Linked DNA regions of Nothobranchius furzeri. The protein of the gene in region 2 binds, or shares a complex with, the protein of the main gene of each other region. Links are inferred from orthologs where the notes say so. Each region holds a gene or a part of one and is shown on either strand. Other genes may lie near its edges.

Region 1 (5,436 bases), on a different chromosome or scaffold from region 2:
CCTAGCGCGCAACGTTCTGTGACTCATAAAAAAACTGTAAAAACGGTGAAAAACGCTGGCAGCGAATGAGTTAAGGGATTAACATTTTCTGTAGGCCACGAGCACTTCTGCTGAGATTTACCCACAAATGTTTCCATGATCAGAGATGCATACAGAGACTTAGTGCCTTTTTCTAACTCCAGAAATGCTCAGGAATAATTGCGGGTTTGAAACTCACTCTCAAGATTTTATAGCTGGTTTAGTTTTGGTGACTCCTCTGTTGGTGTAGATCTCTTTCTGCACCGTGGATCACCACATCCCTGCAGAGTAGCTAAATCAGCGAAGTGTTTTCTATTTTAAATCACAGTTCATGACCAGTTTGTTGGTAAATTTCATTGGTGCTCCAGCGCTGGGGTTCAGACTGATTGGGTCTGAGCCAAGAGCACTGCAACCTGAAAATACTGGCATCCTAGTGGTGTGTTTTCCTCGGAGAAGCCTGTAGTTACCGACTCTTGAGTCCCTCTAATGACAGGAGTTTAAACGAGTCTGATCTGAGGTTTAGTGAAAACAACCCTGAACAAGTCTCGGACCAAATGTTAAGGTTGTTTTTAACTCTGTCATGCCAAAAACCTAGAAAGTCACAGCAACCTGAGGCCCTGTACACACAGAGGGGGTTATCCCACAAAACGATGATCTGTTTCTACGGTTCGGTCTGTGATCCACAGGAAAGTGATGATAAACGGCACCTAAAAGTATTCTTTCAAAACCTCCGACCAAAGTGGAGATTAGCGTAATCTCCGTTGTCGGGATTTGCTTGTTGACGTAAATAGCCAGCATCCTCACTGCCGACATCTCGTGCTACCTGTTTACGCTAGCTTGTTTTTAAAATCTCAGCTACTGATCTATGTAGACCACAGGTGAAGAGTTTGGGAACTGCTGCCACCTACAGGTTTGGCATGCTTCTGAATGAACTCCGGAATGCACTGGATGTTTTTCCGGAAATCAAGGTGGTGTGGACCCATTTTATTTTCTAGATGGGTGTGGGAGGATATTGGCTTTTATAAAATCCCGGCTACATGTGCACATGGCCCACGTGTAACCCAGCTAAGGAAATCATGACCAGTAAGGATAAACTGTGACGTCCCACTTTGTGAGTTGCTTTCATTCGTTGAATATATTCCTATCATAATTTTCCCTTCAAGCTTCTCTTTACACTCACTCATAAATGCAGACAGATCATAGTGTGTTGTTGCCTGAAGGGCCGGGGATCTAACCACCAACATGCTCTGCCCCCTTTCACACGTCTTTGTTCAGATGTCTGACTGCTTTTTGTTGAGTCTGATCAGAACTAAAACTGTTTAGTTTCGGCGTCTCCGACTTTGTTGAGTCATCCCGTTTTGGCTCTTCCATCAGATGCATATGACACTGCCAAGATGTTGTGTGAGAAGTACTACTTAGCTGCCCCCGAACTCAAGATTGAGGAGTTCAACAGTAAGAGTTCCTTTAATTTTCCACCCAAATTGCTGCATGTGTGTTTGGTGCTAAGTTGTCTCTCTTGCCTCCAGTGAAGGCTCCAAAAAAGCCCATCCAGGTGGTGTACGTGCCCTCCCATCTGTTCCACATGTTGTTTGAGCTCTTCAAGGTGAGCGGAGCTGCTTTTGCACCCACCGGTTCTCCGATTTTTAAATGTAATTAATTGGAATGTAAGAAGGAGATGAATGATTGAACTCTGTGGGTGTTTGCAGAACTCCATGAGGGCGACGGTGGAGCTTCATGAGAACAGCGCAGAGGGACTTCCACCTGTAAAGGCACGAGTCACTCTGGGGAAAGAGGATCTCTCAATTAAGGTAAACAAACAAGTGAAGCGTTATTTGAACCTTTTCGCCTCTGCTTGTCCTTTGTAACTTTCCAGATATTTCCTTTTAAGATCAGTGACCGAGGAGGAGGCGTTCCTCTGAGGAAGATCGACCGACTTTTTAACTACATGTACTCCACTGCCCCGACGCCGAGCCTGGAGCCAGGAGCTGTCCCGCTGGTTCGTGCTTTAACAAAAACAAATATCAGTGTTTACCCTGCTGATTAAAAAGAATAAAAACTCTTATCTCACACACTCGTGTGATAAAAATGTTCTTTTACTTTTCAGGCTGGATTTGGATACGGTTTACCCATTTCACGGCTCTATGCCCGATACTTCCAGGGGGATCTGAAACTCTACTCCATGGAGGGGGTGGGCACAGATGCAGTCATCTATCTGAAGGTGACATGACTCAGCATAATGTGAAAAGTGTTGACGTTTTGTTTGTCTCTGAAATACATTTTACTTAGCTTGGTTGAAGTTCAAAACAGTGTTTATGCATTTAAAAATGCGTTGTTTCCTGTTGAGGCTTGATTTTTCTTTCTGTTGAGTGCTATTGTAAGAAGGCGTGTAGCTTTGCTGTGGATAAAAATAGGAAGCAGGAAGAAGTACACCTCAGGCTTTGGTGTATGGTTACAAAACTGAGCAGCTGAAAAGTTCAGTTTGTTTTTATCTGAATACAGAATGACAGAGCAGGCTTTTAGAAACTCATCAACAGGTTAGAAGAACCAGGAACTTATTAAAGAGGGGCGTGTCATTTCATCAGAACTGGACTGGTTGCATTTTTGTCCATTCGTGTGCCCATAACATGGCTGAAGGAAGGTGTCAGAATAATGCTTACCTTCCTCAAACAGTACAGGGTCTTTTTATTTAAGGGCTGTGAGGCTGCATTGTGATTTGGTTTCTTTAGTGAATAAATAACAGTTTCTGCTTTTTGCAACAGTCAAACTGTTAAAGGATAGGACGAGCAACAACAGTGTCCAGTTTGACCTCCATTTTAAACATGGTAGGATGCACAGAAAACAAAGAAGGGGGGGGGGGGGAGGAGGAAAATTTGTGAAAAGCCCCAAAAATCAACGATCCCGGATGAGCCCCCAAGAATGAAATGGATTTTTCATCAAGAAGGCTGAAAGGACAAATATTTAGTCCAGGCTCATTGGAACATTTAAAGGCATTTCTGTGAAATTATAGAAACCAAAGATAAAGAGAATTTAGAACAAAGGAAGGAAGTCGCACAACTTTCGTGTGGTTTTCTAGTTTCTCCAAACACTGCTAATAATGAGAAATTATTGACAAAAGGATGCGGCACAAAGCTGGTGTCTGTAGAGGAGCCCAGAGGAGGAGGCCTTATGACCTTTTTGCCCTTTGACCTGCAGGATCATGAGCTGTATTTAACTATATAATATGTTGCTTATTTCAACCTACATGTGAAAACTTGCTGTTTGATCTTAGCTACTGCTAAGCTAATTAGCCCATCTTTTAATACATTAAAGCTAGGATAGGAGTTCAGGCAAGCTACTTTTTGAAAACAATTCAAAGATCAACCCCCCCCCCCTTTTTTTTTTTTCAGTTATCCCCTTCATGCCAGACCTCCAGAATACAGGAATGCGCAATGCTTGCTTCCAAGGATTCCACACAAAATAAGAGTGTTTTTCTCGCATTTGTCTAAAACACATTGCCAGTAATGCATCCGATTGTCAGTCTCGCAAATGTGCCGCCCATCCCTGGGTCCTCCATTCATTACACTCGAGGAGAAACGGCCAGCTGCTACCACGTTAACTTTAGGTCAAACTACCAGAGTCCCAAAAGGAAAAACACTATGTGAAGTCACAGTCAACAAAAGACGTTTGGACCTAGAAATGATGACTAGTGTTTAGCGCCATCTCGTTTCATACAGCATTGCGGGTTTTTGGTTTTGGCAGAAGCGTCTCAGGGAAAATACCCAAGTGTTTCATGACAATGTTTGCATTCAAAACCTAGCTTGTTTGCAGATTTGTTATAACAGCTTTCACGTTAGATGGTACCAACAACTCTAGACCAATACTTAGTCATGTCTTTGCTGTTGTGTTTCTCCATCTAAAGGCCCTCTCCAGTGAGTCCTTTGAGCGCCTGCCTGTATTCAACAAGTCAGCTTGGCGCCATTACAAGACCAGTCCGGAGGCGGACGACTGGAGCAACCCCAGCAAAGAGCCACGAGATGCCAGCAAGTCCATTTACAAAGCCAACAGATAATTCTGTCTGGCCCACTAGCGTAGCGCTCGGCGTGGAGCATGCACACCTAACCATTGCCTCTGAGTGTTTGTTTAGGATTAGACTCACTTTAACATCCCTATGGTGACTTAAATTGGCACCCAGTGGCAATAACCATCTTTAACGCAGCTTTCATTGTCCATTGAACCTCCTCTAGATTCTCCCAGTGATCTCCCATTTGTAAATGGCCGTGTTCTTTGGTGACAAATGTAGAAATCATGACCATCGAGCTGAACTCACTGCATCACTGCTATCTCTCCCTCTGTCTCGTGCAGTTTGGCCTGCCCCGGCTTTGCTGACCAAGCTTTTACTCCCTGTGGCTGAATAAGCTACACGCTGCTGATTGAGAGTGTTTCTCAACATCGGGAAATGCTTTCTCATTCTGAAAACACAGGGAGAGGTTAGTGTCAGTGAAAATGGGAAGAAGAAGAGGAGGAGGTTTCATTTCTTTTATTTTTATTTATTTTTTTCTTTTAAAGAAGGACGCTTGACTGGCCAGTGTGTCTTCAGCATGGCAAAGTCTTGGTTGCACTCCTTTATGGGTTTTTTTTTCAGTCAGAGAACATTTTTGAAATCTAGCACCTTTTGAGGAAGAAAAGGATAAAGTTCAAATTATTTTTAAAGCTTTAGAACTTAAAATAAATAAATAAAAGGAAGCCCGATATGAGGAACGGGTGATGTTTTTAAAACTACCTTCAAGGTTGCGCTAGAGCTGTTTTATAGGATACGTGATAAAAACGTACGAGTTTGTGTTTCTATTTGACCTGTTTAGCTTTCTTTTCTAAAGTTAACCAGCCACTCACTGTTGACAGAGGATGTCGATTCTCGTTGGACGTTTTTGCTCACGGTCCAGCCTTACAGGACCAAACGGGTGTGTGAAAACACCCCGGTTCATTCCAGCATTGTCTGCTGAGTGGCTGCAACAACACCAGCAAGACGTATTGTTCAACCCCTCGTAGAACAAACTGGACCTGCTGCTTCTGAGTAAAGGATGCAGCTCTACATGTCTTGAATTTGTGCTGCTGCCATGATAAGTGACACGCTTGCTGCTCGGACCCGTTAACTTAACCCTGCTTTGGACTTCACCGTGCCTGACTTGAATTGCTACGAATCTCTGGAGTCTTCTGAATGAGTTTGAACAAAGCTTGTACATTTTAAAAATCCACCTGTTTTATTATGATTTAGAAGGTGCAGCTAAAGTGAATTGGTAGCTGACAGATTGTTCAGTGGTTGATAGTTTAATTATAATTTGTCAACTGTATGCTTTATATATTTTCTTATTTATACAAGGAGAAGTCATGTGGCACACAAAGAGGAGCTGTTGGATAAGAATACGGTCAAAGAAGTCTAAA
Region 2 (7,306 bases):
GTATCCAAGAGGTGAGTCTGGTCGTCTCAGACACACCAGCACCGCGTTCTTAACGTCAGAATTCAGATTTGTAAGATGTTAGAGGAGAGGGATTTTCCTCTGCTCAGGCTTGGTGAGGTGACGCTCAGAGATGTGAAGGCAGCTGTTGATCGAGAGGGAAACTACAGATATCATTTCAAAGCTCTAGACCCGGAGTTTGGCACGGTGAAAGAGGAGGTAAGGAACAGCTGGGGTTTTTCAGCCACAGCAGGGTTTCACTGGACTCTCAGTGGGATGAGTCTGGTTCTGTGCTGCAGCAGATCTAAACATTCACACTATGTGAAGTCATTGCTTTGTTTATCAAGGTGTTTCTGGATGGAGCAGTCGTTCCAGGCTGGGAGGGAAAAATCGTGGCCTGGCTGGAAGAGGATGGTGGCGAGGAGAGGTAACAGGATGTCACGTCTGAGGGTTTCCTTTAATTATGTTAGCTCTGGTTTAAAACAAGCTTGTTTTCTCTTTCTGTTTTAGGCCGCTGTAGGTGTACAGCCATGATGTGTCATCGATCAGCTGTTCATCACCCAGAGACAACCACCAGAGCTGTTCGCCCTGCTGATGCCTGAACTCAGGCCGTAACTGTAGCAGTAGTGTTGTGGTTCAGGCTGTTAGCTCCGGGAGGTGAGACAGAAAGTCTCTCTGTGTTTGGTGTCGTGCACCAGCGAGGCCTCGTAGACCCCAGATTCAGTCGTGTAGTCTGGTACAATGGTGCATCAGAATCAGCAGCATTAGCCACTTATTCATTAAAGATTAGGAACAGATGTTCTGATAGAGGTGTTAGTGCGAGGTTGAGTCTACACGAGTGCATGACCTGAATCCAGACACTTTTCTGTTTATAGTTTTAGTTTAATGTAGGCTGAAAAGAGCATCTGCTGTCAACAGAACTAAGGTCTAAATGTATTTTAGGCTCGTCTGTGTTTTGATGTCATTGTAAAAACAAAAGCATCACTTCTTTTGGATTAACTTCAGGGTTTGTTTTATGATTTTATCCACAATTTTATTATTTGAAGAAATGAAAATATTTGTTATTTGTTCAAATAGAGATTATTAGTTGAAACCTTCATTTGGTTTTTGTTGGGTGCAATTTTTAATGTTTTGAGGAGCCTTGTTTTGTAATCAGCTTATTTATGGTTTGTATTTGAGTCTTTATGCATGGGCGTGGCACCCTTGGGGGATGTGGGGGATTCAACACCCACTTTTCTTATTGAGATCGTTCAACACCCACACTTTTCCAGCCGTTTTGCCCACCTCCACACACCAGTCTGGTTTCTCTACTTCGCACTCACTCTGCCTCATCTCATTCTCCCCCTCCCTCTCCTGTTTCTCCTTGAAACCCGACATTGGCAGAAACCTTCTAACAATGGTAGTTTTTGCATCTTCACTGTTCCCCGCTTCAGGATATGAGCCGACATGAATGATCGCCTGTTAAATTTGTTTTTGAGGTGGTGACACTTTGAGAATTTTACTGTGGCCGTGCTCAGGACGCATCTGTCTGGAGCGCATCAACGATCAGAGCTCTGCACCTCTCAGGTCAAAATAATCCCTGGAGAGGCCACATGAATAATGTAATATAAGTAGAACCCGGATCGTTATTGGCTCCCCCTGAAGCTCCCTAGCTCACCCGTAATGCGAATCCTCTGTATAGCACAAGTTTGTCGCGTGAGTTGCCAGATCCTAGCAGACAGTTGCTGGAACGGTTGTTTCAAAATAAGATAGTTCCTGGATCTTGTTCCGGCAAGACCCGGCTCAAATTAAGCACTGATTGGTGAATATTTAGCATGTTTTTGGAAGGGCTTTGTTACTGTGAATTATGCGCGGACCCGTTACTGGATTGGGGTTGAGTTTCAATTTACAGCTGATGACATCCACAGACAACATCCCCCACACTTTTGAAAAGCTTGCAATGCGCCTGTCTTTGTGAGTTGAAATGTTTGAAAAAACATCAGATCTTTTCCTGTCTTTTTCCAGTTTAGGTCAACGTGAGCCAACACAAAGAGAGGAGATGTGATGAGAATGTTTTTAATGCCGCAACTGCCTGTACTGTAAATATAGAGTTTACGAGATGGTGTTTTTGCACTTATGTTGTTAAAAGATTTTTTCTTTAGCAAAACATGGATACTGTCTGATTAAAACATGTTGAAGAAATCGTTTTGAGGAATGTTAGATATTTTGAAATAAAACAGATTTTTTTTCATAGCAGTCTTATGTTTCTGGTTTCCATCGCTGTATTTTCATCAGTAGATATATTTTAGATTTGTCTGATTAAATGATATTGATATTGCTTATTTGGTCACAACTCAATATGTTTTCTAATGTGTTTAATAAATAAGATGTTTTACAGTCGTAGACCTTGCTTTGTTTTGGTTATAAAAACCAGGTCAGTTATTAAAATTAAAGTTTTAATGTAAAGAATTCTCAAAATGAACTGGAAGTAGTAGAGTTGCTGGGTTATGCTTGTTTTTACTGCCCCCGTGTGGCAATTGAGGATATTACACCGTTTGACCTTGTAGATCTAAAATATTTTAAAGTTTAAATAAACAAAATTTGTAATCTGCTTTAATATTTCACAACTAGCACTGTTTGTTTATAATCATGGCTTCGTGTGAAATGTATCTTGTTTCATTTGAAGTGTCTTTTTTTACGACACTTGATTTGAAGCAGCGACAGGAGTGCCGTAAAGCGTGTGTTTTTGACAGGAGGAGGTCATTAGAAAGTGAGGAGTAAAGTCGGAGCGCCGGGTTTTTACTGCCAGCTCGTCTCTAATGCCGCTGTGAGGCAGGTAAATTATTTATCAGACAGGTGTTCGATTCCACACGCAGCAGAATGCTTCGTTTAATGCTGCGGCTCCGGCCGTGTCCCGGTGTCTCCCGTTCCCGTGTCCTACCGGCTGGGCCTGCTGCCTTCGGCTCTCTCTCCGTGTCCGGAACCGGGTGTCTCAGGCGTCTTCACAGCGGACACCGAACAGTGGCCCTGGGCTTCAGCCACAGAACGACCTTTGTGCGGTGTCCCCGCCCGGCTGGCGGCGGCCAAAGCAAGCGTCTCTACAGTCTGCCGCCGCACCAGAAGGTAACGTTAACCGCTGTCCGGTTCTGGCACCGGGTCAGAGCCGGTACCGATAGATTTAAAACACCTGTACACCTAACAGCAGCACTTAGCTCCATAACGAGGCGGTGGCGGTGTAATGTGTCCATTAGTAGCTAAAGGATGAAACATCAGATGTTTCAAACTCTAAATAATTCTAAACATGTGCTGCAGCAGCAGACCTGCTGCTGTTTCCATCAGAACATCTCCACCAGCAGATAGATCCCGCTGGTGTTTATATCCAGGAAGGATGTCTGAAATCTGCTCTTTAGGGGCGGTGATGATGCTCACACTAATAATAGAAAAACAAGGACAAACTAAAGATTCTCAGCATTAAAACTCTGTGAATCAGATCCAGACGCTATATTCATAAATATTCATGAGATTTGACCATAAACTACTTTAAAATGGCCTGAAAGGAAAGAAACAACCAAAAGGAGAAGCTTAAAGAACAGGATGGGTGTTCGCCCAGATGAATAACAGTGATCAGGAGTTATCAATTTCCCTCTGGGATTAATAAAGTATTTTTGAATTTGAATTGAATTTGAAACACAGATCTCGTTTATTTATTTATTGTATTACTTACATTTCCTGGTGATTTTACTTTGAACATGTAGACAATGTTTTTACATTTTAGGTTTTAGCCGTTAAACTAAATAAATAACTATTTTCTTATAATTGAAGTAATGAGATTTTGGTTGAATTGGTTGAATGAATGACTGAAAAAACAAAACGTTTCTTTGTCTAAATGCAGGAATCATTTCTTTAACTACTACTTTAACTGTTCTTATTTGTTTTATTACATGTTTATTCTGTTCTTAACAAACACCTATGATGCATGCATTTATTGCAGAAAGATGCTCAGATTGTCGTCAGAATCTACTTTACATTTCACTGTTATTCAAAAAGAATAGATCAGATTTTTATGTTGACGTTTTCAAAAAGCTTCTGTTCACAACAGTTAGACGAGTTGTTTTAAAACAGCTTACTAACAAAAATGAGAACTTTATCAGGTAAAAATGAGATTCTGGTTCTGCTGATATAAGTTTGGGCCAATTTTGATTTATCTCAAGAAGCTGTAATTAGAAAAAGACTTCAACAATCTGCTGAAGCTGAAAACACGATCCATCCACGCTACACATACATTTAAAGGAGTGGGTCCTGGTTGATCCCTGATTTTGTGTTCCTGGATTGTTGCATACTTATTTGGGAACCCTCCGCTGGGAGCTGCTGCTTATCTCTGCTATTGGATGTCTCTTGACCCAGAGCAGTGACCATAAAGTCCACCCAGATGTGAGGAAATCAGGCCTGTGGGTCATTCATTAAGCTGGGATGGGGTGACACTGCAGCTGCGCTCACATCACCTGACATTCGGCTGGATTGGGATCCTCCTGTTATGAAGCGTATTTTTGTTTGTTTTTACCTGGATTTGTTTCCGGCTCATCAGGTGGAGCTTCCGGCGCTCTCGCCTACTATGCAGACCGGGACCATTGCTCGCTGGGAGAAGAAGGAAGGGGAAAAGATCAGTGAGGGCGACCTCATCGCTGAGGTTAGGAGCTCTGTGGATCATAGATAACTGAAATATCATCACGATTTGTTGAGTAAATAAAGTGTGTGTGTGTAGGTGGAGACTGATAAAGCCACTGTAGGGTTCGAGATGCTGGAGGAGTGCTATCTGGCTAAGATCCTGGTTCCTGAAGGCACCAGAGACGTCGTCGTTGGATCAGTCATCTGCATCACCGTCGACAGGTCGGTATCTTTATCATTTACATCGTTTAGATCTATGTGTGGTGAATTAAAGTTATAATATTAATAATAATTAATATGTTTTCATCTGCAGCCCAGATCTAATCACAGCCTTTAAAGATGTAACGTTGGACTCCATCAGATCTGCTGGTGCTACTCCTGCTGCTGCTACCTCTGGTGCTCCTCCTCCATCAGCTGCTGCTGCTCCTCCAGCAGCACCAGGCAGCTCCTACCCCCCCCACATGAAGGTAGGCTGGTTGTGATGGGAGCTCTGGTGGCATAAAAGAGCTGAGGGATTCTTACAGCAGCTTGAATTCCTCGAAAATGAAAGCAGAGACCCCCCCCCCCCCCCCCCCCCCCCACACACACACACGTTTATGACTGTGGATGGATTTGCTTCCATAAAAATAAAAGTTCCACCACATCGACTGGATAGCAGACAGTAACCTCTCTGATGAACCACTTGACTGATTTTAGTGAAACTGTCATCAGAGGGTCGTCTACAACTGATTTACTTTTGGAGTCAGTCCAGTTCAAGATGGCTGCCACTAGACCAAAATGGGTTTTTCCATTCCCGATACCGATGCTGATGTAGAGGTCATGGTTATTTTATGAGCTGCAGATTTTGGGGGCTGATATCTGGATGTTTTCCACCTTCTCAGCCTGCTTAAAGGTCACTGATACCAACAACTGATGCTAGGGCTGGACAATATAACTCGATAGACATGTGGTGCGATAGAAAGAAATGGGTCAATCAAAACGTCGATTTCTTTTTTTTCATGTAGCCTGAGCCTATCAGGTTGCTTAATACTAGACTCCCAACCAATCAACAACACCGATCCAGGCACGCTCTGTCACCAGGCCCTCCCCTCTCAAGCCCAGACAGACAGCATGTGGTTCTTGAGTCTCACTGAGAGAGAGTCGTAAGCAGCATCCTTCATATCAGAAGGCTCCAAAAGCAATACTGCTCACACACATCTTTGCTTAATGAGAAAATTTGTAGTTTTTTCCGGTATTCTCTGAAAATATCCATCAAATGTTGTTTAACACAATGCCCAGTTGTTGAAAAACATTTGCGGCTTCATAACATATCACCATAAAAATCTGGTCTAAAATACACGGTAGCGGGTCTAAGTCTCTGGGCGATGCCATATTAGATGCCTCGTTTACTTCTACGGCAGCCTGTGAGGACAAAACGTATTTATTGATTTGTAACAAACGGTTGCAAAACGTTCACCATTCATAAATGTTGTTTTACACATTTACTTTTTCACTCGTTACCAGTGATGAAAGGGGGTCTGATGTGCTTGTCATTCTGCTGGAAGTTATGCTCCTAGGCATGGATGTAGTTTTGGGCTGGGGACATGTCCCCCCACCTTTTCCAAAGTCACTTTTTGTCATCTGCACTTTTTACTGTCCAAAAACAATATAACGCTATAGGGAGCCTAAGTCTCCTCCCTTTCCGGTCGGCTCACGGGTCCCCGGAAGAACGAAAAAATGACTGCAAGTCAACGGGGCTAAAAACGCTATTTTCTAATCTGCCTTGCCTTACGCCCTGGATCACACACACACACACGTTGTACTGCAGTTTAAATGAAAAGTAATGATGGGTGTTTCTGAAACACTGTTTCAACTATGCCAGTCACCTACTTTGAGATTCATCAGCTTGTAAAAGTTTATAATTATTGTAGCGTAGGCAAATCGATGATTTTTATTTGTTATGACCAGGAAGCTAAATAGACACTGGGTGAGCACTAGGACCAAGCGGAAAACAACTGCTTGTGGTGAAGCCTGTTTCCTATTAGAACCGTCCATAAGCTCAGCTATTGGCTCTGCTGATACTTGCTAACATGTGATTGGCCGTTCCTGCCACCTGTGTACTTGACAGTTCTGCATTCTTGACATTGCATAAAAGAGCCTCTAGACTAGTTTTATACATATGTTTTGTATACTTACTATAAAGACACCACCACCCCACCACCCGTCCTCATGCCAGTTGTGTCCCCTACATCTAAAGTCAAAATTACGTCCATGCTTCCAGGAATTTTTGACCCTAAAGGCCATCCATTAGTAAGGTTTTACTCAAACACATAAATACTGCTTACTTGCAATGATTTAGGTATGTACTTCCCCCTATTGCCAGGGAAAATACACACAGTCACTTTAAATAAAGAAAGACGGCACAGACTTCTCTGCGTATCTTTTGCCCCACCCACACGCTCGGAGATTTACGAGTTCCAGAGAAATGTGTTTGAACATGTGAAAAGCCAAATAGCTACAGTTGGAGGAGCCAAAGTGAGTGACACACACACACACACACACACACAGATGGGCAGCTCGCTTTCGATCGCTGTGACGTGTGTGCGCGGAATGCCAGGAGCAATTATTACATTAACGTGAGGGACGAGTAAATATCGGTGCGGACAAATCGGTGAAAGAGGAAGAA

What was found.
Region 1: the proteins of dlat (region 2) and pdk3a are in contact, whole or in part, in a crystal structure (PDB 1Y8N), measured with the Homo sapiens proteins. The link is inferred for Nothobranchius furzeri from reciprocal best matches to the Homo sapiens genes DLAT and PDK3. Residues at the interface, in NP_001922.2 of Homo sapiens: Ala225, Leu226, Ser227, Pro228, Thr229, Glu248, Gly249, Lys259, Ala260, Ile262, Glu265; in NP_005382.1 of Homo sapiens: Arg21, Phe22, Ser23, Pro24, Ser25, Pro26, Leu27, Phe48, Lys51, Val55, Asn373, Lys374, Ser375, Arg378.

The regions. Positions count from the first base shown.
Region 1 is NC_091747.1:54,906,574-54,912,009, reverse strand, and holds part of pdk3a (pyruvate dehydrogenase (acetyl-transferring) kinase isozyme 3, mitochondrial), read left to right. Parts: intron 1-1,392; coding exon 1,393-1,470; intron 1,471-1,544; coding exon 1,545-1,621; intron 1,622-1,724; coding exon 1,725-1,826; intron 1,827-1,906; coding exon 1,907-2,014; intron 2,015-2,122; coding exon 2,123-2,236; intron 2,237-3,916; coding exon 3,917-4,037; intron 4,038-5,436. UniProt on the Homo sapiens protein: Inhibits pyruvate dehydrogenase activity by phosphorylation of the E1 subunit PDHA1, and thereby regulates glucose metabolism and aerobic respiration. Can also phosphorylate PDHA2.
Region 2 is NC_091750.1:45,047,980-45,055,285, forward strand, and holds the start of dlat (dihydrolipoyllysine-residue acetyltransferase component of pyruvate dehydrogenase complex, mitochondrial), read left to right. Parts: upstream 1-2,708; 5' UTR 2,709-2,856; coding exon 2,857-3,099; intron 3,100-4,561; coding exon 4,562-4,663; intron 4,664-4,738; coding exon 4,739-4,863; intron 4,864-4,954; coding exon 4,955-5,108; intron 5,109-7,306. Other genes in the region: dixdc1b (dixin), read left to right, coding at 1-11, 108-216, 345-424, 508-517.